Linked DNA regions of Neodiprion lecontei. The protein of the gene in region 2 interacts with the protein of the main gene of each other region in a pairwise test. Links are inferred from orthologs where the notes say so. Each region holds a gene or a part of one and is shown on either strand. Other genes may lie near its edges. The genes, in order: nuclear hormone receptor FTZ-F1 beta and phosphoinositide 3-kinase adapter protein 1.

Evidence for each region.
Region 1: the proteins of phosphoinositide 3-kinase adapter protein 1 (region 2) and nuclear hormone receptor FTZ-F1 beta interact in a two-hybrid assay, tested with the Drosophila melanogaster proteins (2 studies listed by BioGRID). The link is inferred for Neodiprion lecontei from reciprocal best matches to the Drosophila melanogaster genes stumps and Hr39.

The regions. Positions count from the first base shown.
Region 1 is NC_060262.1:31,239,327-31,256,376, reverse strand, and holds the start of nuclear hormone receptor FTZ-F1 beta, read right to left. Parts: upstream 9,451-17,050; 5' UTR 9,264-9,450; intron 4,367-9,263; exon of another isoform or gene 3,694-4,366; intron 1-3,693. Other genes in the region: GTPase-activating Rap/Ran-GAP domain-like protein 3, read right to left, coding at 12,883-13,139, 13,444-13,686, 13,762-13,848, 13,933-14,269, 14,556-14,824.
Region 2 is NC_060260.1:11,735,062-11,752,012, forward strand, and holds the start of phosphoinositide 3-kinase adapter protein 1, read left to right. Parts: upstream 1-8,554; 5' UTR 8,555-8,785; intron 8,786-16,951.

The DNA.
Region 1 (17,050 bases), on a different chromosome or scaffold from region 2:
ATGGAGGGAGGGAGGGATCCGCGAGCGTATATTACGCGTACTTTGAATACACGTACATTCTTACAGGCATAGGTGTCTCCTAGCCTCTACGGAAAACGTGCGCGCTTGCGTAGGTCGAACAAGGATGAATTCGAGCGTGTATAATATGGCACTCGAAGCGTATCAGAGCGAGAAGGAAAGTGTTGACGAGGATGAGGATGAGGAGGATGAGGAGGATGAGGTGGAGGGGAATCGATGAGACGAAACAAGTTCCCGGGCAAAGATTGCTAAAAAAGTATGTTTCGAAAATCGATTGCCTGCAGGGAAATTTAGCCGCGCGAAGAAGAAGAGAAGCGGGGAGTGCCAGAAGCAGCGTCGTCGTCTTATACGTACCGTTGTCGGTGCGATGGAGTTGCGCGGGAATGGGAACCTGTTTTTGCGGTTTTTATTTATTGACAAAATAAGTAGATAATCACAGGACCTGCATTCCTGGCAGGCCTTAGGCTTTGATCTCGTCCTGTTACTCGGCTTATACAGCTTACATACGTATATATAAGCCTGCACCACCGTGTCGCATACTCGTCAAGTCCAACTGCACTCGCATACCCGACTTTTCCAAGCTGCACCTCTTTTATTCACTAGGTATAGGTGTAATAATGTACCTATGCACGTAAACTTCACGGGCATCCATACATGCGGATAATTAAATGGACGGTAATATTTTGTTGCTCGTCCAACAATCGGAATCTGGTGTTCGCTCAAGATGTTCGACCTAAGAAATTTCACGGCTAATCCCGGTTTTCGCGGATCCTGATAAAAATTAATACATAAACACGTGTAATATACTTTCTCCGTCTTGATAATCATTACGTAACAAATGAAAGTTAACCGAAAATACGAAAAAAAAGAGAGAAAAAAAAAGAATTCATTTGCTTCTAATAAATTTGATGAATCGCGCGAGATAAATTTTTTTACAAATATCAGGCTGTACACAAAATTCTCTTATATTTCCAGGTGTCGTTTTCGTCGTAGGTATGAAACTGCCAAATGCCATGACATAATCATTCTACGATTTCAGCGAACACCTTAGCTGATATATATATCTTATACTGTATAAATCAGCTTTGGCATTAAAAATTCTTGATCCGTACGCTTACATACATTATACCTATACGAATACGCAATGACAAAAAATCAGATCAAATAACCGATAGATATAGAGTTTATATTTGGCGCAACTGCCATGATCCCGCCTCTCTGGGCTTAATGTAAACGTATAAAAAAGTAAGACGAAAAAAGGTGACGCAATAGCGGTACCTCCTTTGTCTCTCGGGAATAGTATGTATACAATAGTGTGTATACCTACACACATACACACATACATACATTTACAGTACAACGATCGTTCCGTAAAATTTCTGTGAGTTGAAAGGTGTTTCCATGTATATACGTATAATGTATATACCTGTAATGTAACGTAGACGTAAAATACAATAGTATTACATACGGTCTTTAATATGCAGAAACGGTGTTAACGAGTTTGTATAGATTTGTATCGAAACATATGCCACAGCAGCACATGTATTTTAGTAAAACTATGTAATAAGCTGCAGTGTACAAAGGCATAATATACTGTATTGTGAAAGGCAACCACACAAAGTTTATCACAGAGGGTTTAATACGCACGCAAACGTATACCTACTGTATATATCGATACGCGCGTATGCATGCACGCGGGGCAGTCATTCGCGCGAATTGACGGCACACAACAAACAAAGGACATATAATATATCCATGACGGTGGGTAGAGTCGGAGTCAGTCAGTCACGTTATCCTACGCGTCGACCCCCCCCCCCCCCCCCCCCATCGAGGTATCCCTCCGTGCCCTTCCCTTCGCTCGTTATCAATCCATCCCGACCGACGTCGAGCACAACCCGCGCCTCTAAGAGGGGTTCCGTTGCAAAGACCGACGTTTTTCGACGCGGCAGTAGTAAGTCAGTCTCTTCCCAAGCCGGTAAGGTCAAGGCCCTCGTCGCCCTACCCCATGCACCTTAGGGTCACGTGACGCCGCTCAAGGTCTCCTATCCCCACCTCGACGAGCCGCCACTTGAGTCAGACTCCGGAGTCCGGAGACTAGACCGGTCGCCCTACCCTCTTGAACACCCCCTCGAACCCCCGACGGAACCACGGTGACCAATCGCCGTCGAGCTTTCAAGACTATTTATCCCCCCCCCCGTAACGCGGGACGGAAAACTGTTGTCAACGATGCTCGGATGCCCGTTAATTACTTGCAGCGTACCCGTACGTGTGGGTGTCTGTCTGCCTACGATGAAGCAGAGTATGTATGTACATGCACACGGGGATATCGTGCTATCGTTACGCTCAATGTAGAGGCTGAAATATGTCTGATATAGATAGATATTGGCGGTGAAAGATTATTGATTGTTGAAATTTTGTAGGAGTATAATCTTTATAGATTGACAAATCGAAGCTTGTATGGCGGTGAAAGGGAATAAAGCCGGCGGAACGTTTACCGACGAAGACTGTGCACTTCATCCCGAACAGGCATTGAGTATTGTACACGACGCGCATGTGCATTTGTACACCTCTGCAGCACGTGCATCAGCGTATGTACACACGTCCTAGGCAAAACAACGATGCACCGCAGTCATACGCGTGTACGGTTGGCTGGATGTGCCCGTGCGTCCGCATGTACACGGAGAGAGTATAGACGAACGAAAGGTCAATGACCGGAAACGTTCGCGAGCGAACTTGCTCTATTTTAAGGGCGGTTGTCACGCGCATGCGCCACCAGCCAACACGTGCTCTCAGGTCGCGTCGCGGCGAACCACCACGGTTCCGTGAAATTTCTATAGAGTGGAAACTGTCTGATACCTTTATTAGTTTCCGACGACAGGCTTCCCACTTGTATGCACGCGTCGAACCTGCGTCGGTATATTCGAATTCCCTGTCGGCAGATATGCGAAATCTTTGTGTAAAGAGGAAGAAAAAAGAAAAGAAAAAAAAGGAAATGAGAGGAAGAGGGGGAAGGAGAGGCGAGAGAAGAAATATTCAATGAATTCATGGAACTTGCGCCGGTAGTTTTCACGTGAACGCGCGGGGAACGTAATCCTCGTCGAATGTTGGTAATTCTTACGTCAAACGAAGCCTGTAAGGTCGTTTCTAATTTTGGAGTGGACTCCTTCGAATGTAGTATGTATGTATGCTAAATACCTAGCATTATAGGTGTAAAATACTAACGTCCCTCCTCACGTCTTGCGCATACTTGTTATACGAGATATGTCTGTTTTCCTTTCACCGAGTGGTGCCGGGCCTTGCTTGCCGCAACTACTGCATATCTTTATTCCACCATACAATACACATGTACATGTATATTCAAGCGAGAGATAGGTAGGCATATACATATTACAACTAACCGGCGATACCAATTGAAATTATTATTCTCGTAACGCGGATCCGTTCGAACACATCTGGAAAGGAACCGGTTCCTGATTGGATTCGAGATTTCCGTTCCGTTCAAATACATGTGAAGCCCTGCACACCGATATCTCGATAAAGATCGTTCGTTCGAAATTGCCTTAATCTCGGATTTCAAATATTGATAAAATTAGGGTATGCCTATTTTTTATTTGTGTGTACGTACGAGTACATAAATTCTCAATGGCTGCAGTAAACAGGAATAATTTTTATTACCTGTGTACGTAATCTGTAGAAATACGTAAGATATGTCCCGATAAGTGTATAATATATATGTTACATGATCCAGATCACGTAGGAATTATCACTCGTTATATCTCCAGTATATGAACATACATCATGCAATGTCCATTATTACTTTTTTAAAAATACTTTTCGAACGTCGACAAACTCGAGTTCCTACTTGTGCCACACTGTCCACTTGCTTCGCGATGTACGACGTTGTCCTTTGTAATCCTTGCCGTTAGAATGACTGTATTCCGTATATCTTGATACACTATAATTGCACGTTAATTATTTGCATTTTTAGGCCGTACACTTTAGACACAGGTACACTTTTTAAAAACGTGCACGTATACGTATAATGGTATCTCCCAAAACGATAATTATAATGACGACGGTAAAGAAAAAAACAAACAAAAAAAAAACGCGAATTGTCTGTTATCTTTTCCTTTGTTTCCTGCTGTTAATTGCACTACTGTGATTTGAAAGCTTTAATGGTCAACTATCGTATAATACCGTAGCACTTTTATAACTGAATAATATTGTCCGAACTTTTCAACAATTGACGTTGTCCAATAGCAACGATACAATTTTCAAGTTTCATAACTGAGAAACACTTGTAGCTATAACACAATTCAATTGAAACCTTGTTATCTACAGTTGGTATTCATCGGATTCCGTACTCGGTACATTCCGTTTCAAGAGCACGATTACGGATTCGCGAAAGAGCGAAAAAACTTTTGCACCACAGCCTCGGGTTCCTCCCCGCCCCGGGAAAAATAATTATCAAACCGGTCACCTGTATGCCGATAAATAGAGGTGTAAGAGGTTGAGGAAAAGGAAAAAAAAAGAAACGCGGGGCATAGGCGACTTGTAATATCGACGAGAGTCAGAAGCGCGACGATGTCGGACGATAGCCACCACAAGGCGAGGAGGTAGCCGACTGACTTGGTCGAGTCAACTACGCGCCGGGGTGTCGAGCATTCGTCTGCTCCGCGGCCGTAAGTTCGTCACGGAGAATCCACTTGCGGCTGCTGCATGGCCCTAAAGTTCCGTCCTCTTGCACCACGGAGAGGCTACCTGAGGGAGTCGTCGCGAGGTACCACAACCTGTAAAAAGAAGAGGAGGAGGAGGAGAAGGGAGGAGGAAAGAAGGGCGTCCCATAACGCGGCACCACCTCAAACCGCACGTTGCAGCGTTGCACAGCAGAGTCTGCAAACCGAACGGTTGCCCCGGTCACTCCGTGCATGAGACTCATCCTCTACTCTCTCCCCTTCCTGCCCGGGAATGACCGCGATTAATTTCTTTGGTACGGCGAGCCGCTGCAGCAGGGAAGCGCCGAATTTCTCATGATTTCCTCTGTCGTCGTTTTCTCGCGGAGTAAAGCAAAATGCTTTCTCGTGAGTAAGTAAACTCTTAGCGAAGATAACAAAGGTGCAAATGCTTATAAGTGTATGTATGTATGTATACATATATATATATATACGTTGCGAGGACGAATGTAGCGTGCAACATTAAATTTTTGTTTCGCACAAGCCTCGTGTCGTCGTCTTGTTTTTACTTGTGTACCTATATCCGTGTGCGTACCTACATGTATGTATAGATAGTAGATTTTATTAGGTGATTAATGGCGCCGATTCGAGGGATGGTAGGTAGTAGACAGGTTTGTGTGTATAATAAAAATTTCGTATAGGTTGGAAGGGTGCCAAGGAAATGATCACGGTACACACATACACACGCGGCGATCTGCAGTGTAGGTATAAGAACTCGGAGCTCTGAACTCCTGGGGTAGACGCGTAGACTTACGTTGCATGTGTGCGGTGTTTCACGGATACAGTTAGTGACAGATTTATCGAGATCATTCAGTCTTACGCTCACAGCCTCCGCGGCGCGGCGAGGCAGGGTAAGAAATGAGAGAACCAAGAATTAAAAAGCGGCAAAAAAGCAACTTGGGCGCTGCTACGGTGCTTCGCACGCAGCAATTCGCCAATTTAACGATAATGTATTGTACGTTGGCCTTTCAATTTTAACGATACACGCATTAGATTGGTATATATTAGATTCATACGTGCGCACGTAAATATAGGAAAAATCATCGTTACGTACGACGATTGCACAGTGTGAGATTTTTATAGATATGCAGTTTGGGGATTAAATCACGGATTTAGACTTATTCAATTTTGATAGTTAATCGCATCTGTATACTTGCATATGGGCCACATGTTGTATCGATAATATTTAATCTGTGGCCAAGTATGGAAGAAGACGACGGTGAAGCAACCTGTTGGGGAGCGTACCAATTCAGCGTCCGGCCGAGTACTTTCGTCCGGTTGTTTGGATTTTTTGGGCATTTAATCCTGAATATAATAACGTCACAGAAAATATTCCGAAATTACGATTCCGATGCGTATGAGCTATCCATTAACATATAGATGCCTCATCTTGTGAAATGTTCAAAATTTTTATACTACAGCGCGATGTTGTAAAACGCAACTTCTTAATAGCTAAGTAAGGTAGATTGTTTCTCAATATGGAAATCAGGTATGTATAATTTATAAACGGTCGATTTGAATGCTGATAAAATGTTATAAAACACATGCGTAAGAAAAGTAAAGAAGAAAAAACATTACACTAAAATATGATTAATTTCGATTTTGTCTACGAAGGTATGCAAACAAAAAATTGGCAAAACTTGTTTAGGTCTGGACTTTGTAGTGCGTTGCCCATAGTCTCGTAGATAAAAAGATTGAGACACTGTTCTGGCATTGGGCAGACTTTTTATCATTTACGAAAAATAAAAAGTGGACAGATGTACGATTTGATCAGTGCGGGGATTCATTATTTTCAACGCCCGATGCCGGGCGCGACGGAACGTTTGTTTTATTTGCATTATTAAAAATTAAAATATCGCGCAGAACGAAACGATCTCGCAGCTCGCCGCAGACGCGTAAAGCTCGGCTAGATGATGAATAGGTGTGTACCTACAAGTTGGTGACTGACCACGCGCCGCCACGCCGACTGACTATGCATCAGCGTTAAGCGTAAACTGTTGGTAACCGCTGCAGAGAAGGTCGTCGTCGGAGTCGCCGTCATCGTCGTCATCGTCGTCGTCGTTGGCAGCGGGTACCATGGAGAAAATACAGTTACATGCTCGCCAAGAAACGGGCGCCGACCGCCGTGCTCGATCCGCTACATTACGTCGGGTTAGGATATACCGCACGGTAAATACCGAGCCAACTAACGAGTACTAGCCGAGCGAACGAGGGTAGAGAAAAAAGATTCACGAACGCGTTAAAGGGCACTCGAATATTCTCAGGAAAGCGTGGAAAACTATTAACGCGGTGCGGAATCGACGTCGTGACGTCCAACTTGGCGGGTAGGTGTACATCTTTTATTCCAAAAAGTTTTCGCTTCGAGTCGACGAGGTGCAGCAGCGAACTCCGATGCGGAAGGTGAATCTAGTATCGGTTTTGGTCTTCTAAAAAGAAAGCCCGTCGCGCGTGCGGCCAGCGGGGTTACGATCAACTCCATCCCGTAATATGCTTACAACACATAACTGCTGCATACCATCGCGCGGCATAGCGCAGGTAAAACTTGAGCTCCGCGTGTTATAAGAACGCGTTGGAGAGCGAGCGAGCGAGCGAGTGAATGAGCAGCGAGGTGCGGTCCGGGCTGCACTGCGTCGAGAAAGGTTTTTCATCCATATTCATAAGCCTACGGAGGTTTATCCGCATCTCAAGGATCGAGAGAAGAGAGACCGAAAGAGGCACTCCTGCATCGCGGGTCCCTTCCTCCTCGGAGTCGATATATGCGTTTGCCCATTCCTCAACTCCCGAGTGTGTAATATAAAATTTATCGCATACCGTGTAGGAATTTTTTAAATCGTCGGAAAAATCGTTGACGCAATTCTTGGCTCGGGTTGGGTTCTGTTGGGTTGGGTTTGATGCAGAGGAGAAGGAGGTGCGAGCCACCGCGAACACGTTGCTCGCTTTATCGTCTAGGTATACCAGAGATTTAGCCGATCGGGTATTAACTCGTGAATCAGCGTGTTTCAGATAAGCTGTTTCTAATCGAAATGTTTGCCATCCAGCGCGCCGTGACTATAAGTATAATATCGGCCAAATCGAACTATGTCGTGTAAATAGTATTCCGAGTGTATTGGCTTGAATTATGAGCGTTCTCGAAACCCTTGAGGAGAGAAAATGAATCATTTCGCCGGTGAAATACAGATCTATGACTATCGTACGCCGACGTGCGTATAAAACGCTGAATCGGGTGTGGAAAAAGATTACTGATTTTTTGAAAGGTGGTCGGGGGGGTTCGGTTGAGGTATGCGACATTATTCTTTCCTGGTATAGCCGCTGTGACGAAGCCTCGCTCGCTGCGGTCAGTAGTTTTACCGCTGAGGATAAGATAAAAGGCGTAAGGTGATTTGGGGGTCGCGAGGACGAGGCGGCGGGGGAAGAGGAGGGCATAAAGAGGCCGGGGAACGGAGAGAGATAGAGATAGGCGAAGGGGACGGGGACGGCGGAGAGGAAAGGGGAGGCTCAAGGCCGGCCGCGCTGTCAAGTGTCAAGCCAGAAGCCTGCGCGCCGAAATATCAACAAGCCGTCTCATTTCCTCGCATGTTAATACTCGACTTTCGAGCGAAACCTGTCTCCGTCTAACTTTGCCGAGTTGCTCCTATTCGTCGTATTCGCATTCTGTTTATACAAACGTTAAATTGAAGGAGGCCAACGTGTGCGAGGTAAAAGAGAGCGAGAGGGAGAGACAGATAGACAGATATATAGATAGAGAGAGAGAGAGAGAGAGAGAGAGAGAGAGAGAGAGAGAGAGAGAGAGAGAGAGAGAGAGAGAGAGAAAGAGAGAGAAGTAACGTACACGATATCACACGTATGCATAGCTTGGGAGTAAGGAGAAATGTACGCGGTGGTATTAGTAGTATAATTTTATAAACGAGGTGGTATCAACTCTTCGATAGTCGTCGAATCCGTCGGCGCGGTTCGCGTATATAACAAATATGAAATTGCGGTATAGCCAGAAGCAGAAGCAGCAGCAGCAACAGCAGCAGCGGCGGCGGCGGCAACAGCGAGCTACAAAGCAAACGGATTGTTTGCGAAACATGTATGAAAGTGCCAGCAGCAGCCCGGGCAGTTATGAAACGGACCGCAGCGCGGCGGCTCGAGCAAAAACAAAAAAGAATCGGTCAGGTGCGCTCGCGATACCTCGCCAGACGACGACGACTCGATTCCCCTCGTCGTGCGCGGCTGTCGAATGATCCACTCATGATACTCCGAGGACTCGCTACGTTTCTCCGTTCGAAACGTTTAAAATAGGTACATACGTAGATCGTTGACAACCTGGTCGATCGGAAGAATATACCCGAGAGACAAAGTGCCGTGATTCTGGTTCCAGAGGGCAACCCGGAGTGGGGAGATGAGATGCGAAACATAACCTCTGTCCACTCGCTAACCCTATTAATACCGCTCTCTCTGGACATTTGATGTCTCGTCGTTGTTCGAAAACGCGTCGCGAGAAGGAACCTTTGATATCGTTAAACTCACCTCATGCTCCGGATGATGTCTCGCGAAAACCACAGGAATATCCTAGTCCGCGATCGGTTCCGACGACTCTCTTTCGGAGAACGCACACAGCACTTTCACAATACGCTGTCCCTGTACTACAGCAGGTAACAGGCCATCCAGGCTAGGCACACCTTCACGTTACAAGTTACAAGCCTCGCGCACAGGGGAACCTATAGTACCACGGGCAAAGATAGTACAGTGCATTGCCGGCAGGGGGCAGCTCCGACCGGCACTTAACGCCGGCTCCCTTCGCTCCTCGTACGTTCATTCGGAAAACATCGTACTCGTCGCGACTTCAAACACCCCTTCATTCTCACCCCGCGGCCTTTACGCAGCCACCGGGGCTTACTGACCATAGACAACGTCTGCTCCGTTTCGCCAACTACGCGCGACCTATCGATTAGACGGAAATAAAAAACAACGGGGAGCCGAAATGAATAACCGACGATGAACAAAACTGCGGTACGAAAGAACGAGCGCGCGTTGTGCGTAAATGATTCGGAGTTGCAGCCGGCGATGGTTTACAATGAACTATAAATCTCGGACACTTCGTATTTCGTACAAGGTAGTTTTGTATACATAGATTTTCATGAGTTCGACAACCCCCACGAGCCGAAGGGTTGCTTACTTGTCTTCAGAGGTTATTCTCTGGACTCGGCTAAGTTTTCGACGGATAAATTATCCGCGTCATTCGTTCGACGTGGCACTATTTCGAATATTCAATTTGAATTCTGAGTCTGCAAGTTCCACGATGATTCGAAAATTAGATAAATTCAATGGTTTAGTAAATTGCTTGATACGGGAATACTTACGTCATTATCGTACCTAACGATGTAAGATTTATTGTAATTCATTCCGGAAGAAAATTGTACGTATCGTTACTGCTGTTCATCGATGTATTATTGGAATATTTGAATAAACCACACCGATTTTATTTTATTTACGACATTTTTACTCTTCAATTAATATAAATAATCTCGATCCGTTCCATTGATATTAGAATATTACGACAGAGTCAAGCTGAAAGATATAATATACCGTATGCTGTAGAAGTTTAGATCTTCTATGAGAGAAGCAGCGTGGACGGATGATGTTGACTATACTAGTAAAACGTAGACAACAAATACACGACTTGAATTTTAATTAGGATATATTCTTTGTTGCAACTGTATCATTGACGGACGTGAAAATCATTTTAAGCGTCCCCTCTTCGTGGTATCACCATTCTTATACCGTGCTTTTCTCAGCTCGGGGAAATCCAACGCTGCAACGGGGGATTCACGGTTCATGAGAAAAAAGAGTTTAGGTAATACCAATTATTTCAGCCCGAGATTTAACACCATCTGGTGGTGTTCGATAGTCGCGTGTACTACACTCCGATATCCAAATAAACGCCACGCTTCTCAAGTTCGACCGTCGACTACCGAGGAAAGAAATGCCAGAGCCATCTGGCAGATGCTGCTCCGAGCAGTCTTTCTCATCCTCAATATCTGTAGATATTTTTCAATTTCTTCGTTTTACCAAGAGCGATACGCAGCTTTCACAATCTTCTCTTCTACTTGGATCCCGAAGGGTGAAGACTATCGTTTAAACTGTATACTGGTTTTAGAGAAATTTTGTATTTTCTTACAACGCTTAAATACCTTTGTCATATATTATCTTATAATAAATTCAACTCACTCCCGTAACAATGTGTCTGTAATGTATTATAATATGCAGGGGAAAGTAGTGTACCACGTACGTAGAATAAGGCGTTCGTCTTTATACTTTTGAGAAATTAATCTTTCGATATTTATTAAACATTTTTGACAGGGAGAAAATTTCTAAACAGCGTTACCGACGTAAACTCAATTCACACCACTTTCCCTTGACCCTTTAAAATTACTTCTTAAACTTGACATATATATACATATATATTTTTTTCTTCATATAACTCCATTACATTGTTTTATTTTTGCTTTCTGCTTAATTTTACCTCATATTGTACATTTTCAAAGGCTGCGAAAGTATAGCCTGAGAAGATTAGTGCGTACAGTGTAACACGGGAAGTACATATTTCCTAAGAGGTTCCTTAGTCTTTGGCTTCCTTGGATATTTTTTACCAATCCTGATAGATTATAACAATTTGATTCAATCTGCTTCACACCATATCATAGATTGTCGTCAGGGAATTGTTCATCCTGTATGTCTTAATCTATGTATAGTGAAATAAACATAACAGAAATTTGTACATGCGTTTCATTTTTTCAATTCTGAAAATCAATCATAAATAATATATGCCACCTACACGTACATAATAATACGCACAGAGTAGTGTGACATTTGATATTTTATCTCGAATCCGATGTGATCACAGGAATCAGCACACGGCCAACACAAGTCACTAGTATACATAATTATTAAAGAAACTCATTTTATTGCTGTAACAACATAACGGATCTCGCAGCAAACATTTTTCTTCCAATGTGAAACTTACAGGTAATGCTGCATTTCAATGTGACAATTACAATTTACGACGAACATTCATTTTTAGTTTTATTTATCACTATCAATCAACTACCCTATCACTCAGTCATGCTAGTTAAAAATTAAATACCGGGCCGGTAAATAAAAAATTCACCACTACTCTAACGCGCCTGAAATGTACGTGTACAAATATTTGTGCTTATATCATGTGTGTGCTTTATGCATTTTTTATAGTAAAAATCATAGTAGAGACAGTAGATGCAGGTAACGTCACGGACTAGATAACAGTAGTACGCTAAACTATATTTATACATCTATAACATTATATGAGGTTACTTAAGACGTACGCGCATTCTGAAATAAAATATGGTACATTTTCAAATATTTGTGAATAATATAATTTTTTCGATCGAATCTACGTCCGTACGCGTATGGGCAACACAATGAATGATCCGCCTCATTCCTTGTATTCTACATATTATTTAGGGAATGGCGTTCGCGTATCACATGAATATTAATCGAGACTAATGGATGTGCGTGGAGTTTGCACAGGTTAAAATAATATACAGTTTTTGCCATTATCGAGATAAATATTGTTGTTAATATTATTATTATCGTTTTAATAATAATTATTATTATTTGTATTATTATCTGTGTAACTGTAATTGGTTATTATATATTCTTATTGTTAACATACGTTTTTCAAGTTTTAAAATAGCTGTATCGCCGTATCACAGAAGAGAAGACGTTTAATAAAGACGTGTACAATCACGTGTCTCATAATATAATAATAATACTATAAAGATTAAAGGTACGTACGAAATTTGCATGCAGATATTCAACACACAAATGAAATTCTGTCATATAATTATTTTTCAGCACTATGTATAAATTTATATATTATGTTTTATTTATACCGTATATTTTTATATATTATATATTTATATATCATCATGCTTGAAGCTAATGCCCCAATGTGGGCTCAGTGGAATTGAGGCATTGGCGATTCAATCGTTCGTAAAAATCCTAATTTCTGTTGTGTTTTTTGTTTGTTTCTTTTTTTTTCTTGGTTTTCTGTCAATTAAAGAAAAATTAATTTCAATCCAATTCTTCAACGTTTTGTATAACAATGTTACTTGTTTATTCCCATGCCCGGTAAGCAGGGCACGTGACCGGGCGTCGGACTGCTGCTGCACGATCTGCTCAAAGCTCTGCTAGAGTCGACCGTAAGAAAGTTGGCATCCCCAGAGGGTGGTGCGGGTACTAAATCCGGCTCCGCAGGACTCGGGCATCGCCTCTCGCAGGTGGCAACCGTTGTTCCCGAGAGGGTGCTCAGAGGAATCTTGTAGATCCTCATCGGCTTGGCTTCGGGTGAGGCTGAAAGAGGGGCTGTAAAAAGATCGGGTTGGCTGCGGAGTCAAAAACGAATAGCTGTAGAATTAAACCGTCGGATGAGCAACGACGAATTGACATTTTAGTTAATACGCCGGTAAAAGAAATGAGCTCAATTTATCGGTCGGCAAATCGATAACGTTTCAGAGGCATGCATCTCGTTACTTATAAAAGAAGAACCGAAGCAAAAAATAGGATGCGAAAGGTCCTCAGCGCGGTTTCAAGCCCGCGAAGCGACCCCGCGGTAATTAAAATAATTGCGAACACCTGCTCCCGCCCTCTCATTGTTCCCGTAACCTACCGGAATGGGGTGATGCTGGGGGGCTGTTGTTCTTGTCGTCTTTATCCGTCTTTCCATCAAAGTGGATCCTCTCGGTGCGGGTGGAGAAGAATTCCGGGGCCGTGGTCGCGAAGAATATGTCATTCTTCGAGGATATTAAATTCAAGTTCGGCATCACCATTGTGTGTACAAGATTTCCATTTATAATCAATCTGATCTCCATCGTGTCCGATGTGAAAGCGATTACGTATGGAAATGCACATACTGTGGATAATAATGAAATCACAATCAGTATTAACGGAATTCACCGATGACATTGTTTGAAATTTCCACACGTACCAACCGCCGTCGGTACGGAATTCCAATGAAAATCGAACGCCGTCGAAGCCATGCTTTCGTCCATGAGCTTTTGGAAATGGCACGTATCTGAAAATTGAACAATTATACCGAGAAATACCTGCAGTAACGTGTCTCGCGAACCAACTCGCTTCGATTTGCGATAATACTGACTATTGTAGCACAGAAGCAGTTCCGGCTCCTCGTCTTCTCGAAGGTCCAGAGCAGCGACGAGATGGGGCTTGTTGCTCGTTTCCACGGATAGTATTCTCGATGCACCCTCCGCCGAGATGAGCTCGAAATTATGTCGCAGAGCGCAGCAGAGTGCCCAATCACCGCATCCCGTCGCCCCCTCAACGATGGTCACGAAGCTCGGCACTTCGCTAGCCGTCAATTCCTTGACGAAGACGAAACCGTCGACGGTGTCGGTGTCGGATGCTGGGCACCAAGCGGTCCAAGCAGCGCTGTGTTTCCACTGCATAACGACCAGTCGACGCCCTATGGCAGCGCACTGCGGAAAATCGGAAGTAGATGAAAATTAAGGTCGTCGACAGGATCGAGCGGTTTCGATCAGCTTGAGCCTCGAAAATTATTCTCAAACTGCTTCTGCTCAGCCGAGGGACTGATTTACGACATTTTTCAAAGCTTGATAAAGGTGATAGAGCGGATCTCCCGCGCATCCGTTTTAAGCACCGAACTCAAGCTTTCGCGAGATGAGTTGCTTATCTCAAGGTAGAGGAAATTGAGAGTAAGATTACACGGGGGCTGAACAGGGTCTCGAGTTGCTACGGACTCACCATTCGCAGATGCGAGCCACCCGGTCGAGTAAGGGAGTATATGTGGCAGCCTCTGGTGCGCTCCAGTTTTCTCTCCTTGGAGTGTGATCTCGTCTTGGGCAATGTGTCTCCTCCAGCCTCCGCATCGAACTCGCTCAGACGAAACACGTGGATTTTGCTGTCTCTCCCGCGGTCGCCGGCTCTGATTAGCAGGATCCCGTGTTGTTCCACCACGTCTAATTGTTTTATCTGGACGGACTTGTCGAATATAAGTCTGTGCGAAAGACCGTCTGAAAGCAGATTATAGCACTGCTTCAATTCCGACCTCGGCGCTTCACACGCAAATTTACGCTTGAGTAAATTTGAGCCTTCATTCGGTGGGCATGGATTTAAACTGATGATGATTATAGCGAATTACACTTTGCTGCGCCCACTTGGTATTGATTAGGGTCTTGCAAAGCGAGCGGATATTGCTTCGTCGGAATCAGCGAAAAGAATAAATCCATGACCCTTATTAGCGTGACCTTCGGGAATTTAATCGAATTCCGAAAATCGTCGAAGGATAGCATTTCCAAAAAATATCAATGCGCGTAATAGTAATAGTTTAAATGCAGAATGATAATAAAAACATCGTAAGTTATTACAACCGAGCTTCACCTCGTTGTCAATTTCTTCGACGATAGATTCATAACTCGGATCGATCATAAGACTTTGGCAAAGCCATTCATTCGAGTAAATCAGGACACCGCGGGCTATGAACAGTAAGTATTGACCGTCACCCCATCTGAGGCTCTGTTCTTGTTCTCATGACCGAAGCTTCCGCTAAACTTGTACCAAGTTACATAGATTGCGAAACTACTCTACAGACATGCATGATTGGAAGTTAACTCAGTCCCTGAAGTAATTCCGCGTATAAAATAAATATTAATAATGAAAGATCCGTGTAAGACTGATCTGCATAAAGTAATTGCGACACAATCTCGCCTGATACTGATTGACGGAAATCTGTTGTTTTGTTTTCAGAGAAGTGTAACAACGCGTGACTAACGCTGCTTCCCAAGATTTTTAATGAAGAAAACTTTTCAGTGAACCATGGAAGTCGTACACGATCACTTTCATAATGAAATCAGATCAAGTAGAAAATTGTTGGTCCAAGTTACGAAAACTTTTTTACGAAGCTCCAGACCGAGCTTATCAGATTCCCAAAGATCTTCTTACCGGATTGTGATATTCAGGATTTTCTTCATTACGATCAGGGTAAGGAATAAAATTCAAATTTCCGTAGGTAACCGAGGATCACATAATTGACTGGATGACTTTTCAGCAAAACTCGAGACCGCTGTGAACTTGAAAAATAATGAGAATAAAGAATTTCTCTATCATCGTCAAGGTTAGAACTTCGATTACGCAGGCGCTGTCGCCAAGTGCGTATGCCGTAGGCTGTTTCCCAGGGTTTGCTCATTACATGGTTCATTTCGATGAACGATTCAGTTACACGGGGTTATGAACTATGAAACTTCATTTACAACTAGCTTTGAAACCTTCGCTCGCTAAAGCTCGCTCGGGGTCGGATGCCTAGCGTAACTGGTTCTTGTGCTCGTGCACTCGCTCACTTGTTGTCAGTGTTTTACCAGATGACATAGTTGTAGGGGAGACTGGGGCACGATGACTCCCCAAAAAATTCTGGTATTTGCTTCACAGTATACAGAATGAACACTGTCTTTGTGCATGTGACGCAAACCGAATCTGCCCGTAAGATTTTTTTTATATAATGCTACAAATCACGTTTACGTATGGATGTAAGTATAACGCATTGTGATTTTATGACAGTAAATTTCGTCAAAAAATACCACGGAACAATCAGCTAAGTGCTGACAGATTTAAAACACTACGCACAGCAATTTTAGCTCTAAATGAACGACGTTATTGTCGTGTATTCCTATGTATACTATGCCAACTACTCACCAATCGCAATTTCTTGATCTCGGTCGTTCGGTTTTTTTCGGATTTAAAATGTGATCTGAAGCATGTGTATTGGTTTGACAGTACAAAACATGACGTTTTCAATAATCAAACTTGTAAACTTGAAAATTAGTCCTGAAAGTCACCACGTCAAGGACCTGGACAGCCAAAACCACGGAGCGCTTGTCCTGGAGGTCGAGATCCACCAGGTTAAGGATCTGGACAGCCGAAACCACGGAGCGCTTGTCCTGGGGGTCGAGATCCACCAGGTGGAGGACCTCGATAGCCAAATCTACGGGAAATTAGTCCTGAAGGTCGAAAGTCACCAGTTCAAGGATTTGGAAGGCCAGAATTACGGAGCGCTTGTCCTGGAAGTCGAGTTTCACCAGGTAGCGGACCTGGAGCGTAAAAACTACGGAGCGCTTGTCCTGGAACTCGAGTTGCCCCAGGAAGCGGCTTGAAGCGCAGGATCCAGGAGGTAGAGAACCCGTTATTCGAAATCTGCGGAGCGCGATTCTCAACCGTCCGCTCTACTGCGCGGTTCGTTCCAGACT
Region 2 (16,951 bases):
CTAATGAAAATGCAGGGAAATCAAAACCAAATTCTATCATCGAATTAAAATAACTGCAGGAGCTGAAACTTTCGCGATGCAATTTCGAATCAAATCGCCAAATATATCCTCGCATGTCTTAGCCGGCTTCTGTATTTTAAATTTATCATACACATTTACTAAAATAAAAAAAACACTACCGCGATAAATATTATGAACTTTAATATCATTATTCGATTTATAATTTGCAAGTTCAATACAAAAATTTCAAATAGCACTTTGCTTAATTTACTGAACGGGTTGAATAAGTTTATGGTTAATATATATTAAAACGGTGAAATGAAAAAAAAATCGATGAAAAACGGGTGGATAATTGATATTGATGACTCTTCGTGAGCGCTGACGCCATTTTGACAACTTATCAGTTAGCTACAGTCGATGAAAATGCTTTTTGGATAGGTTAACGTTCGAATTACTATTTGACGGTCCACAAAGGCACGACACATAATACCGAAACTGAAAATTTATCGACAAGATTGTAGTTTCAGAATTCGAAGTCGTGATACAATTTTGAATAAATTTACGAGCTTTTCGCTATCCAATTTTAGTTATTTCTTAAATAATCGGTAAATTAACGGTGTAATTGTCCGATATTGAAACTTTGATTGCTAATTCCAAAATCTGAATGGTAATTTCCTGAGCTTTTGTATAAAATTTGATTCTAGAACTCGGGATTGGGAAATTCGAACTCGCAGAGTGAAATTAACGGAGATGCACGTTAATTCATTTTGTCACAATAGATTTTTAATTTTAACAGACTGTAATCGAATTTATTTGTACTTTTATCACGTAGATTCCGTAGTAGCTATAGGAAATTTATAAACATAATAAATTTACCACACAATTTATTCAACTCAGAACACGCTTTTGCATTTCTCCAACCAGGTTGAGTAAAATTAGAAAATTTAATTGCTAATTTAATGAGAATGCTTAGTATTTCACTTCGAAATACCAAATTTTTTTTTTCACCCACACTTTTGTGCAGTAAACGTGTAGTAAACTTATGAACATTTTTCACAATATATTTTTCCTCTACTTCTCTGTATTCAAAACTCAACCGATAACAAAGCGTTTTCAGCAATCTCTGCGAGTTTTCCCGAATTGCGTCACGTACCCCGATACATTTCCCTAATTACCCGTCTGTTTGAATATTCTTGAAATATGATTGTCTGGATTACGCAAGAGCAAATGCGGGTGGTGAAAAATTCCGTGAACTGTGAAAAATCATGTAGAAATTTTTAATCTAATTTATTAAATTGTTGGAGTACAAATCAACTTTAAGAAATTGAAAAATTGGCTCAAAAAACTACGTACCACGATGCAGCCTCCTTCTATAACCAGAACCCGACCACTGTCTATGATCGTGTTAAGTCGATGAGCCACGGTCAGCAAATATTCTCCTACCCATGCATGCCTCGATATTCTTACAAAGTTTGTAATGATTCAAATATAAATGCGCGATGAACACGGCACGAGTGGATTAGGTTAGACCCAGGGAGTGGGGAACCTGGTCACAAATTTGAAAGTAGAAGGTGGTCTACGTCTCTCCAGGAGGAAGGAGGTGCGGAGGTGTTCCTCTCTGAACTGAAATAGTAACTGATCGAAAATCGACCATTTAAAAATAATAACGGAAATTTAAACTACGGGGACATACCTGTTAAATTAACAATTAAAACACTCGAAAAGCCAAGCAAATTTAAAAAGAGAGACGATAGAACGAGAACATTAAAAGTGCAATAAACAAATATAGTGCCTCGACGAAAAACCGTTATTGACAATACATCATAATTTCAACGATATCCACCCATTTTAACAAAATACACTGTTTTAACCATATACACTGATTTTAACAATATACACCGTTTTAACTAAATACACCGGGAATGAATGAATGATGAATGAATGAATGAATTTTAAAATTAATGACAGCTCATGTGTAGTCATATTTATAAATAAATTAAAATGGTCACTCCACTAATCATAGTTTGATAAAAGATTGTTAATATAGATTTCGCCTCATTGTTAAAATTCAAATATTATTAGAAGTTATTATAGCAAAAATTGATTGATCGTCGTATTAGTGCTTGTAAATGAAAGTCAGAACATTTCCAATTATAGCAGCGAATTTAGAAGGAAATATTTGGGATCATGAGAATTGTATTTTGAGTTTAAGGGAAATGTTCATTAAATGAACGAATTTTTTTACGGCACAGTACAATTGTTTCAAAACAAAATTCGATCTTTCAATGAATTTCATCTGACGAATTTTTTCAAAAACGGTTCAAAAATAGAAATAAATGTCCTTCCACTCTGAATCTTGCGTGAAAATATGTTATTTCGAAAACGGAATATGTTTACCTTGTTTCAAAAAAATCAACTCGGGTACTTTTGAGATGCGTTTAAAAATTCAAAGGGTAAAGACAAGTGATTGATTTTTTTTCCAATTTCTGGAAGGATTTCAAGGGTCGTACCAATATAGGAAAAGTCGTTGATGAAATGAAAAAATGTCACGGTCAACCGTTTGCAAAGTTGGCGTGGAGAGCCCCATATATTAGTTTGTTCAATTTGTAACTTTTTAGGTAACTTTTGTAGGTAACATTTTTGTGTACGAATCCATTTTCCAGAAATATTTTTATATCTTAATTAAAACGATACATACTGAGTATGTAGAATTTTTTATTCCCCTCATTTTTTTTTAGTGCATTAAATCAACCGTCAGCCCTTTGCCGAATGGAATACCATTGATTGAAAATATAAGGAAAAGAATTTTCATGGTTTCTGTCGACAGGCAACTTCGTATTGTCCTTTACAGCGTGGCTTTGATGACCTTTGCTATTCGGGGAATAGCAGGAGGTATTCATACATATTTCGCTGCGTTTTTTATTACCATTTCTTGCTTTCGTCGCAGCTTTTAATCCAACTCGATGAGGGACAACGGCAACGCAAAGGAGCAAGAAAGGGGCGAATGGAATGGAAAGAGCAAGAGGAGTGAGAGGAGAAAACACGTGTTTCCCAAATGTCAAACCTTATACGAGGAAAACACGTTGCCTATTGCGGCTGCCTGACAGATGCCCGTTTGTCGAAACAGCTGCTTTGTATTTCGTATTGATCTCAGTTCTCTGAAATTTGGTGAGTAGTAAAAACTTAAATGACGATCGTAAATTCTGACTAAGTTAAAAATGTTAATAATTAGTATTTGCATTTGGGTGAGTATTTGATGAAAGAGTCTGCGTCGCTGACAACAAATTGCCTCGAGACAATGTATGTATCTAGTAGAAATTAGCTTACTTTTTAGTAGGAATAATCATTTAGTATATTCTATGAAATGAGTCTGACAAAATGTTCGGTATTTTTCTGTTTCTTTCATGAATGCAATGGCTATTTTTACGGAACACAATATTCAGCAATTGAAAACAACTATTCCATCGATGCATGTAAAACTTTATTATTGCATAAGGCGATGTTATACATGAGTAAATTACTATAATCGCAGGTTTTCATTCTACTTACGAACGGAATAACGAATCAAATTTTCGCTTACCAATTAACAATTTAGATACTGTGGAATTTCGCTTGTTATTTTTATGTTCGTCGTAATCAACCAATTGTTTTAATGATGAAGTGATTGTAAAGACAGATCTTGGATAAATAGGTCATAAAAACACAGTAATTTATTACCGACATTTCGGCCCTTGGTATGGACCCTCCTCGGGGACTTTTATTCCATTGGAACAAAAGGTAAGAAATATTTTTCTATCAAGTTCAAGTGTACGAGCTTATGTCAGAAATCGGTATCGCCTTTTGATCATCGCCTCTCCCACTTCTCCATGCGTAGGAATATCTATCTAACTTCTTTTTAAAAACAATCAAGAGTTAACGCGGGTACTTTTAACAGTCGCAAAGTGGAGGCGGTCTAAGTTAACGGATAGTTGAAACTAGTAAGTGGTTAACCTTCGTCAACTACATATTTTGGGGTCTTCTTTTTACCTCTTTCGCCTCCTTTACCTTGCAACCTTTAGAAATATCCACGTTAATTCTTGATTGTTTTTAAAAAAAAGTTAGATATTCCTTCGCATGGAGAAGTGGGAGAGGCGATGACCAAAAGGCGCATAATATGCCGGGCTCTCCGACAACCACGATGGCCTCTTGCTTTAATGAGTTTTTAACATAAATTCGTTTTAATAAATTTAAGGTGAGTGTCCCTCGATTGAGCTCTCGTGTATTTTGAATTACGATTAGTTATAATTGTTCACCCAATCTTAGTTTCGCCTGAGCGGTATTGTTCGGGAGTATGTAATAAGCTACGTTTTTCATTTCTTTGCACGGTAGCTACGTGCTTGTTTGTAACTTGATGACTGACTTCGACGCTGGCTGTTCCCGGTCTACGTGCGACCTGGTTGTAAATATAGGTTAATTATTTATGACACGGCTATCTAACACGTGTAATAACTTGAAATAATTTCAATGATTTCTTTCTTTGTCACAGTAATTAAATGCGCTTTGAGGAAGGTCCGCGTGTAATCTGCAATAACTGACATAATTTTTAATCAACGCTAAGATACCTTGATCTACGTGACCTGACTTGTACATACGTGGTTAGTTACATCATACGTGATACCGATTTCTGACACAAGCTCGTGCACTTGAACTTGACAGAAAAATATTTCTTGCCTTCTGTTCCAATAGAATAAAAGTCCCTGAAAAGTGTCCATACCGAGGGCCGAAATGTCGGTAATAAATTACTGTGTTCTTATGACTTACCTACCCAATATTTCTCTTCACAAAGAATTATTTTGTAGTAGAAAGACTCCAACGGGGCCTTTATTTTATCTCGATGTATCGAGTTGGAGCTGACTAATAACAGAAACAATTAACAATAAGATTACGCCTGAAAGTATGCAACTTAAGTTTCATCGACGTAACACGGGACCACTTGCATCATATGAATACCGGGATCGTATTAACCATATCATATGAAATGGTTTGATTGTGCGCATGCGCAAAAGCAACTGAAAAACTGTCGAGCCGATTTTCAAACTACTTGTTCCAGTGAATATTTTCGACATTCAGAAGTGACTAAAGTATGTTGTTTCGATGCGATAAAAGGAAAGTAAGCACGGAGAAAAAATATCAATGTCATTAGAGAATGCGGCACTTCATATCGCGTGCTCGGAATTCATGACCGTTCTATCTTTTGGCTTGCTGTATTTTTATTCCTCCTGATGATTGTATGTTTTCGTTTGCTATAATTCGAATTACAGTGTTATATTTGATGGTAGAGGGAGTCTCGTTTATTGTTAGCTTAACCAGGAAAAACAAATCCGCCAGGTTCACTGCGATTTACGTATCCAATACGATAAGCATTCTTCCGACGAATTGTTTCATCCGTTGATATTATTTGATTATAAGTTATAGCTTAATTTATTCGATTAGGCTTTTTGAGCTGTTGATTGTGCGCATGGATCTATCTTTTTGAAATTTTATTTTTTCCAGAAATACCTTATGTTTTCATCCCGATAATAATAAGCTTATCATGATTAAATTGTTTAGAAATTGAAAAAAAATATATTCACGTCATAGTACTGATTAATGCCAAATTCAAGGAATCAATAAAAAAAATGTCAATCTTTTTAATTAACCGGCAAGAACAGGGGGGCACAACTGATTTCGGATAAAAACAAGGGCCAAACGACTTCGTGATGACTGTTGATTCTAAGACGTGGTTTAACTTATGAACGTACATAAAATGGTTTGAAATCTCTCGTTGCAGTGGAATCGACTCGCTGCTGGCTCAATTTTCTGCACCATTCTGTTAGTTCTTAGTTACTTTCTTACGGAAGTAATGGTATCTGATCGTATAACTGATTTCTCGCAAAACACTCGAGTACGAGATTCATGCTCACAATCATGACGTGGAAGTTAGTGGATACATGTATTATTGTTCATTAGAAAAGACTGATGAAGTACGAAAATTGAAAACTTTGTAAAATCTCATCAGTATTCAAGACCCTATTACAATCATGAGCAATGAACTGTAACTGTAACATTATTCTATTTGAAAGAGATTTAGCGCGTTCCGCCGCTAACTACAGACTCTTAAAGCTTCAGCTTCCGCTGACAATTTCTGTCAAGTTCTGTCGGATTCAAACCTATCAGAGAATCCGCTTGTTCGAAACAAAAATTCGTGGTGTCCGCAAAAATTTCCATGGAAATAAATAAGATTTCCTCGCTTACGCCAAGTAGATTATTTCATAGGTTTATATTCGAATGGCAGTATATTGTGTTACAAGGGCGCAAAGTGGCGGGCTTCCGACGAGTGTGAAGCTTGCAGCATGAAGCAGTTATCGCCCATCTGCATGTGCGACATACTTTATTTCTTGCGATACCTGTAAAAGGAAATTTGATTTGAGAAGCAACAAACGAGCCATTGATACCGCATAAAATTGGGTTTACGTAACTTAAGCTTACAATTGATGACAGTGCGTGAAATTGATTTATTCGAACGCGCGCTAAAGAAAGCCCTCGTGTGTAAAATTGAGTACTTCAGCTGCGCGCATGCGCAAACGTTGCTCAACCAGATTGATCGGAAATGAGACACCTTACACACGTTCCACGGGATTTGAAAATTGAACTTTTTAAGCACGTGTTTGAAAACATATCTATTGCGATTCAAGCTAATCGAAAATAATTTTTCCGTGAGTATATTCGTATTTCTATCTGATGAAATAATTAAGCACTTTCAGAAGTGTATACAATATGTATGTTCTACCGCGCAGGTAAAATTTTGTAGATTTCTTAACGGGATCTCATATTTATTATTACATGTTCGTTCCACGCAAAGAATGCATAAGTTTTTTTAATAGCAGCCATGTGCATACTGCGCTAAATTTTCAACACCCTTATCAAAATTATAGTAAAGAACAATCATTCATCTTCATCATTAAACCAAAAATTATCTAGCGTCATTTGCACTTCCAATATTAGTACTAAAAGAATTATTTTTGACGCGCAGTTTTACCTCTTGATTCGAATATTCAAAAATTACTTTTGCGCGTACGCATGTATTACAGAACGAAATTGGTAGTTCCAATGACACATCTGAGGGATTCATATTTCGAAATCATTCTTTTTAAGTTCTTTCATGATCGATCCCGAAATACTGTCTACTTGATGCTGGAGTCTGAAACTTGGGGAAATTTGAGCAGGAAACACACTCAAGATTTCATGGATTGCAAAAAGCACGTTCTTTATTAGAAAATGACCCCATGACGTCGGAGTCTGATTGTCGGCGCCATTACAAAATAGCACATAATCAAAGTTTTTAGTTTTAATGGATGCAAATTATAGTTTTTGGGGTTTCAAATTACTCATATCATGCAAATTAATGAAACGTAATCGATAACATACCTGTCATACCATCCACACGCGAGATAACAAGGTCAATGATTAGCTGTCAATCTGGTTGCATTAATTAACGCTTGTCAGACGCAGGGCTTCTGATTCCTTGACTTATTTCTCTCTCGGCACTCGAGAAATCTCGAATTTTCGAGAAATGTCTAAAGCCTTTAAAAAATCATAAAATTGTTAGTTAAATGCAAAGTAAAATTACGCTTATTAATAACCATGAACGTTTATTATTTATTCAACCTTTTTTAAATTAAAATTTTAATTACTTAGACATTTTCCTATCAAAATTATCCAAGTTATACTGTGTGTACCTTCTTATTAAACTTTAAATTCGTCTTTTTATTAAAAAGTAGATCATCCGACTACATATCTTAGCTTCCTTCCTGAGTTAAGTAAAAATACTAATCGAACCATCTTTTGATTAAATAAATACTAGATACTTGAAGTATCGTCATAAAAACAATCCTTAGATCAAAGTCGCACACAATCAAGACTACAATTTCTCGATTCCTCGTAACTTTTTTTCCTCTCGAGCGAGTCCAGACATCCCAAGAATTCGCGTTTCGAGAAGTCAAGACCACAAAACCTTAGTCAGACAAGTCTAACGATAACGAAGAAGTTTTCGAGAGGGAATTACGAAGTGGCCTCGTCACCGCGTATATCCATCCGCAGCTGGAGCAAAATCCGTGCGTTTACAGCTGCACGTATGTTAAATCGCAGCCGGAGAGGCGCGCGGCAAAGAAACGCAGGCAAGGCAAGGCAAACCGAAGAAGGGAACGGTTTCTTTTAGATGCCAGATGCGCGGGTGTTCCGAGGAGCGCCCTAACCAGACTTGAACGCGGTCACGTGGCCGCGTCGCATGGCGAAGCAAAAGCTCTGTCAGTACGTCGCGTTGCGCGGTCGCGAACCGAACGCGAGGACTCCTCACATTCTGGGTATCATTCGCGTGTACGAAGACCAGCGTTAACCAAAGGATCGTCGATTCGCGACAACCGCCAGTGCGCGTGCGTGTTTGCTTATTTATTTATTTATTTGTTTGTTTGTTTGTTTGTTTGTTTTTTTTGTTTTTTTTGATTTTTTTTTCGTCTCCTTTACTCTGCAAATTGAACTCTGGGTATCGAACCTTTTTTCTCAACACGATTTCGTCTCCGTTTGCGGTAACAATTCCCTTCGTACTTCGGAAGAATATCACGAGGTTGAAAATAAGAGAGAGTGAGAGAGAAACTGTGTCCGATCGTTCCCATTGACTGGTGCTCGGTGTTCTCTAGCGATGTTCTTCTCATCTTGACAACTTCAGGGTTTGAAAATCTGGAACACATGCCTGAACGGAGATTGTTTGGTGAGCTTCATTGTACTGTTAACTTCTGTTATGACGGCAGGGTAATTACCTGCTGCTCAAATTGTATAACCGATGATAAACGATGGAGGAAAAATTGGTGCTACTCAATTTACCACCATTTCAATTCGTCAGTCGTCGACACTGCTTCTGGTGTTTACGATTATAGACAAGATTTGCAAAAGGTGTTGTCCCTCGTTGGAAAAACCTCTATATTCTCGCGTACGAGAAAAGCTTGATATTCTGTCAAACGATGTGTCAAATTATATTTCCGATTCGGTACTAGAAGCAGTTTGGACGACCGTGTATTTTAAGAAGAATTCGATTGGCGCTGAAAGTTGCTCTAAATTCATTAACATTCGAATATATCCCAACCCCGATAGTACGTTCAATATTGGACGAAGTATTCTTTCGTACAGCTTGTGGAATACAGTGTGCTTTAAAGCTTGTAACAAGTGAAATAATACATTTTTCCGACCGCTTTGAAGAACCTGTGGGTGGGTACAACGAATATTCGTTCCATTAGGTGTTCCAGCCCACCAAGTATATTAATAGACTAAAACTGACAGGCGAACCAAACCAGACGTGCGCTGCTCTCTATTACCCCTCCCGTTTTTCCCCTCCCCTGCCCCTTCCCCTTCACCCCATTTATGCACGTGTGATTTACCCAGACTTTCCAGGATTTCGAAAGGAACGACGAAACTAGCGTTGCGGGTGGTTAAATAAATCGTAATTAAGTCGGTGCATAGATTTGTCGGCTGCAGCTGAAAATTTCCGTTGTTGCAAACCTAGATACGAAAGTTTCATTTTTTCTTATAATATGTACTCCTTTTTCCTGTAACTTTAAGTTCGATGCACATTAAGTCAGGTATGCTGAAATTTAAAATAGCCCCTGGATGATAAAATTTTCATGTATATTCATCACAGTATTCATTTATATATTTTGTACGAATGAAACGTCTGTATGATAATTTTGGTGAACATTTCTTTTCGCGCTTTTGTTAAATTTTTATTATAAGAATTTTTCACATACGTATTTATAGTGTCCGATACACATTTTATTTTCTCAAAATTGACCTATTTTTATAACGCATTAATACAAACATTTTTTGTTAGTATTAGGCCGTGATTCTATACGAAACCGTTCAATTTCTTGTTCAAGAATATCTACCTCTTTTGTTGTACGTGTCCCTTTATCTCGTTTTTTCTACAAAATTCACGTATGTCACTTTTATTTAATTGACATAAATCTTTCTTATGTCAAGTCAGGGCCAAACGAAATTAAGAAATAGATTTTGAACCAATATCGTTAGATTGGTTGTTTTCACGACTCATCGATAATCAACAACTCGCCCTCTAGATAATTCTAATTTATTAATTTTCAGCGAAACTACGAAGAAGTGATAATTTTCTGATCCCCCCAAATTTCATGTGAAGTCTTAATCGACACATTGCGGGTATTTACGGCATAAAAATGCAAAATTGATATATAAATCCATGGAACCGGACTACCAAGAATTTCCTTGACCCTATCAAAGAATTTTATTATTCATTTAGTATTGTTAAAAATTACACCAAGGATGTAAGATCTCTGAAATGCCTGCACACGGAAATATTAATGATTTCTGCGATGTATAATAGCGCCAATGATTTGCGTCATAATAATTACCGGCCGCCATTTGTGAATGTGAATAAATTCGATGTATTTTTCTTTAGGTATTTTATTCGTGATAAAAAAAGATTTTTTTAATATGGCGAGTAGATGCTCAAGTGAACGACATTTTCTGCCGAGAATCGACATCTGCGTGAAAATGTTTTTTCGTGAACTCAAATATCAAACAAAAACAGATGCTGGCCTGAAATCAGCAGACGCGTTCTATTTCAATAAAAATCTACTATTATTAGCTGAATTGGATTGTAACCGCTTCAACTGCTCGTGAGGTACACACTGCATCTAACTTATCTGCAAATCATATATGGGGCATTCCACGAGTTTTCGATCAAGTTCGGAAGTTGAGATCTTAGATTTGCCCCGGAATCTTTCGTTTGAAAATACTATTCGTAAAACACAGCCCCGTTAATTTCTGTTTTTTTTTTTTTTATATAACAAATCTCATCTAGTCTTCAGATATGATTTAATTAATTTGTTCCGAAAAACTACTTTTCTGAAATCTGCAAACGTCCAGAGCACATTAAAAAAAATAAAAATACAACCAAATTTTGGAATTCTTGTGGACGGTCGAATTTAATTTCAAATAATGATTATAAATATTTATAAGGGATAAAATTTTGATTTCGCAATGTATTCGTTATTTTGTAAATCCCTAGGTAAATGTGGTTTCTTTTTACCCATATTACTAAAAATCTTTTCCTCTTTTTCGTATGACAAATTTGTCGCAATCATAATTTGTTTTTTTTTTTATTTCCATTACCTTCCGAAACAACGCATTTTTTTCCGTAATGAAAATTCTATTTTCGACAAGTGCCAAAAAATTGTGTTACAAAAAATGGGTGCCCCGGAAACAGTAAATTGAATCATGTCTCAGATTGGGACGATTGGTTAAATAAAAACATAAATCGGGTTGTATTTTGTAGTCAGTATTGTAGTAAAAAAAATTCCAGAGTAATCTGAAATTTTAATTTCTGATCTTGATCGACATCTCATACATGGGGCATTCCATGCAAAATCATCGAACGTTTTGCCCGATCATTTTCAATTTGATCAATTCTACTCGATCGTAGAATATCCATTTAAAAAATTGAATGCTATGTTTTTCATGAGTTGAATGCACTCAAGGGTTCAACGGGTAAAATTTTTCAAAAATTCTTATCTTTCGAAAGAGTGAGATTTAAAATTTGAAAAAAAATTAGAATTTTTTCTTCACACGGATACTTGTTGACAAAATAAAACGGCCACATTGACATTAGTAGGTCACACCTTAGAAGAATCGCATAACGGTTACACTGCGTGAAATTTATCTCAAACGTGATGTTTTGCTTTAAAAATGAGTTTCTAAATATCCGAAAAAAATATCTAGGTATTGTTCAAGGATCGCAGAAAAAGCTCTCTCAGTTTTTCTGACCAAACTTGATTATTTAAATATTGTAAAACATCGGCAAAGTTAAGGAGAGTGCCAAAAATGTCTAAAAAACGTCTTGAAAAATGTTTCGAATGCAATTCACCCCTAGTGACCTATTAGGGTTAAAAGTAATCAGGTCAGAAGCTCGGTCATTTGAATTCGGCACTTTCCGAACTTTTCAAATTCGAGATTTCGGAGTAAGACGAATTAGGTACGTGGAATCGTAGGGGCAACCAACTGCGGAACAAGTATGAACTATAAATATTAACGAGAAGATTTACACGTGTTCCTTGGCACGCGTTTGTAAGGGCACGTATTTGACCGGAAATATGAGGCAGGTGCGAGGAAAGTGTAAAAATTATAAACAATCCGTCCCAATATGTGTAGCGGGACGGTCTTTATTTGTCGTACCGAAATCAAGGTGAATTGATATTCACACAGTTCTTCTGATATTTCAGCTATCTATCTCAACCGCAATAAACGTTATCATCAATCGTAAACGACGAAAAGTTACTTTTCATTGATATTTTATACTGAAACCATTGTTTTCAAATTATTAAACTAGCGATACTCATTTATATGGGTGAACGTTGAATTGTAGAAAATTTGGTTTTTAAAACCAAATCGTAACATACTTAGGTACATAGTTTTTGCAACATGATTTAATAATATCTGACCAGCTTTCAATCGTTTCCGTTTCTTTTTGAATCTTTCAAATGCCATACACAGCCATTGACTAAAGTTTTTTAAAGACGACTAGCCTCATATTTCGATTAAATACAACATTCGAATAAGCTTTATGAGAAATTCAAACATCATTACAGGATCAGATCAAAGCAGATAATTTTGTTCAATCATGATAAATAAATTCTCTCTTATCTCTAAATACCGAAGCCTTCTTTTTAATTTTCCCTCCTTTTTTTCGACGAAAAAAAAAGAATAAAAGATATTATTATAATCACCCTGAAAATTAAAAATTGAGTACTTGGTAGATCTTGAAATTTCAAGAAACGATGATATTTCGAGAGTGGATCAACGGATTTTGATGATTTGAAATCTTGCAAGTTGTACCGAAAATTTATCGTATTCTACAAAATTCTACGTTCAGTATGCTAAAATTCATTCAGAAGTAGAAAGGTTTTTGATTTGAGAATTTCGATTTGTATACATTGTTCGAGAATATTACAGTATACCATCGAAACGTTATTAGAGTCATCTGTTATCATCCCTATATTACAATAAATAATGTCACGTATTCTTGCATTCAATTATCGTGGCATATACTCGAGAACTTTCAATAATATTTCATCTATCCAAAAAACTTGCACCGATAATTCACGCTAACAATATTTTTCAGTGAAATGAAAAATCCACAACAATGCTCACCTCGGTCGACAAATCCGAAATGATTAAAAAGTGCAAATGGAATAGCATAAAGTAAAATAAAATTTAATACAACGGATTCGAACAGGACACCTTCATGACGATTTTACGATACCGAGTTCTTTTAGAGCAATTAGGAATACAATAAAATATGAGGGATGGAAAGTTCTAAACAAGTCGAAAGTAACTTTGAACAACAATTTTTATTCGAAGTCGAGTGTTCTGCCCCAAGAGCTAAATAACCGTCCTAACGTATTCTGAGGCACGTGCCGATACCTTCGGGAAAAGTCTTTTCAATACCCTTTCGCAAACTCGTGCTGCAATTATAAAATGCTATTAGCCTGGTGTACAGGTATAAACACGCGGAGCACGGTAATAATCCGACCCTGAGGCATTCTGGACTTGCTGCAGCTGTACAAACATGAATTAAACAAAATATCTATTAAACGTTACTTATAGCTGTATTTTGCGGCTGTTTTTGAATACGGTACAATTCTTCACATCTGTTAGTCAGCCCGTCTTGTTCCTAGCATAAATTTTATGGAACAACGAAGAGCCGCTATTTTTACATGGTCTGACACAAGCGGTTATTTTCACTGTAAATATCACGTACTCGGAAAAAATGAAATCTATTATGCGTTGTTCGTTGCATTTTTGACAAAAGTTTAATCTACTTCTAAAGGGACAAATACCCGAATAAACGATCAATTGAAATTCCTATGAAAATTTGGTCATTTTGCAATAGAAAATAGGCATTTTTTCTTTTCCATGTGAATTTTGTCCGTTCTTGTTGTTCTATGAAATAAAATCGGTCTCGAAAAATCTGAACCTTTATATTCGCGTTAACGTTTTCTTAGTGTGTTTCGGAAATTAATGATATTAAGAGATATTGACGGAATGACTGAATCATCGAGTCAGGAAATAAGTATGAACTACCGAATGAACAACTCGTATCAGTCTGTGAATCAATTTTAGAATTTGTTCACAGAAAAAGTTACAATAAAACATTAGAATTTTTTAAGCAGTTGAGTCCTTGTGCAGTTCTGATTTAAAATTCTGAAGCTGTTCAAAACTCTTGCTTTTAGTGGGTACATTTTTTTCGTTTTTTTATGTTGAATCTGTTTCTGTATACATGTTCATTATTCTTGAAGGGGATTGCAAATTTCAAAATCAATCAAAAGGCAATAAAACTTTCGAAAGTGATGTATTATGTATACATTAGGGTGGTCCTTAATAGGGTTGTTTTTGAATTTTTTAAACGTTTTCAAATTGATAAAAAAGAATTCCCTGAAGATTCGAGCTCTCTATATCAACTCTTAGATAATCCACTTTTTGATCGAAGTATTTTATGAGAACAACGTGAGAAAAACTTTTGTTCTCTTTGAAATTTTATAAGTCGTTAACGAATATACCGAAAATAATGAAAAATACATATTTTTGTAGAGAATTGAAAGCTCTGATGCATAAAATTCGTAAATGAAAGCGTTCATGTATTAATTAACATTTAAAGTTTATTTTTATAAAAAATTATCATTCCGTCAAGTATAGCTACAAAATGAACAATCGTGTAATAAAATATATCCCACATTACTTGTAGGCTATAAAATTTAAGATAAATTCATGTAATTACATTATTGTAAAACCTCATTATATAATAAATGAAAATCGAAAAATTACTTTTTACTAGTATTGATCGATGCAATGCTAAAAAAATTTACAAAGTCTTGATTGGTACTGTGACTCAGTCACAATTCTCTGCAACAATTTGTATTTTCCATTATTGTGGGTATATTCGTTAACGACTTATAAAATTTCAAAAAGCAACAGAAGCTTGTCCCATTTTATTTCCATAAGATACTTCGATCAGAAAGCCTGCTATCTTATTGTTAGAGTTGAAAGAAAGCCAAAAATTTCAAGGATTTATTTTAAAACTAACTTGAAAGTGTTTAATCCTCTGGGAAAATGAAAATTCAAAAACAACCCTTTCATCGACTACCCCAACGTACATATCAACGGTGCATGATTTTTTCCCACACTTATGGAAGCACGACTTGTCTACACGTATACCATACGTAAAGTTGGATACTGGGATTGGCAGAGCGACTTTCAGTGACCAGAGGACGACGTTCTGTTCGGTGCGAGTCCGATTCAAAGTCGTGGAACTATTTCTAGTGGTGAATGAAATGTTTAGCTCAGCAATGATCTATAAATTGTGTCCCCGCCCAGCAGGAGAGCTAAGCGTGCCACGATAAGATTCGAGATCGCAGAACCCCGCAGAAGACGAACGAAAAGTTCAATTGCGATTCGAGATTATCAACGTCAATGCACTTTGATGTAGGTTTTTATCACGGGCAAGAGAAGGACATGGTTATACACGGTTGAACACGCGTCGCGAATAACTCTCTTCGCGGCATTGGAAAACGTGAGAACCTTGCTTGACCGAAGCGATAATTCTGTGTGCAGATACATTAACATACCTACGGTGCCACATCTCTTCTCTGCATAAATAAAACTCAACGTCTTTCTTTCTGCCTGTCCGTATCCTCGCTTGTAACTCCAAAACTACCGAACCAATTTAGATTCCTTTTTTTTTCTTCTGTGGATAGCAACAACGTCTGAACAGGTTTTAGGATATACTTTGTTACATACTGAGAAAAATTTCATTTGTTACAGTACGTACCGAAATGTCAATCGAGAAACACACCTGATTAACTTTGAAGGAGGAATTTCTCAAACTCTCAACAACTCATTATCGAATAATTATTTTCATACAACCCCCGTTATAACTGAATTGTATGCGCCATTCGATCGGTTTTCATGTTTCTATAATTTCCAGTACACCAGAATTGGACCGCATTAAATTTCGCCTTACAAGTTTCTGCTCAAATTCGAAACCTTGGCCGTAGAAATTAATTATGAATTGTCAATCGATCGCGCTTCACGTTTCACCTTATAATTTAGAGATTGTACAATGAAATTATGTAGCCGTTTTTCACTCGTCGTTCATCCAACTCCTCAGAAATTCTAAGGCTTATTTTACTGGAAATCTTGGCCGATGATGATCAACGAGAAGCTATTGAAAATGCGTTAAAAAAATGTACGATTCACGCGGATATAAACTACTAGGTATTAGATAATCAACGTTAATTTTCTCAATAACACCTGTGGTAGAATTTTTCCTCCACGTGTACCCTTCCGATTTGCTCCCCGAGCCTTAAATTTTTAGATATTCCTGCACGTACTTAAAAAATTTGTCCTTTCTGTGTCAAGCACACATAAAAATGGACACCCTGTAGTCACGGCTATACACAACAAACGACAAGACGTAAAAATAAGTTAGAATCACGAATGCGAGACGCACTGCGGAAGAAGGCCATATCAGGACTTCCGAGTTGTCGCTGATCGCCATCCGCTGGCACTTATGCATGGTGCACATACATCGCGAAGATATATAGTACGTGTAGACTTCATCGTGGCTACGTGTTTATTCGTATACAACGCCTGTACGTGCGGCTCGATCGGCAATAATATACCACTTATTATTAAGCAAGACATGTACAATTTTTGTCTTATTATTAGGCACCTTTCGGAGCCGTGTCCAACACGTGTCTGCATTGGGGATACAATGTTGTTCCATCTTGTTTCACTGCGCAACTCGATACAGCGTCGAATTTCCTTTTCTCTTGATAGAAACTTTTACCATCGC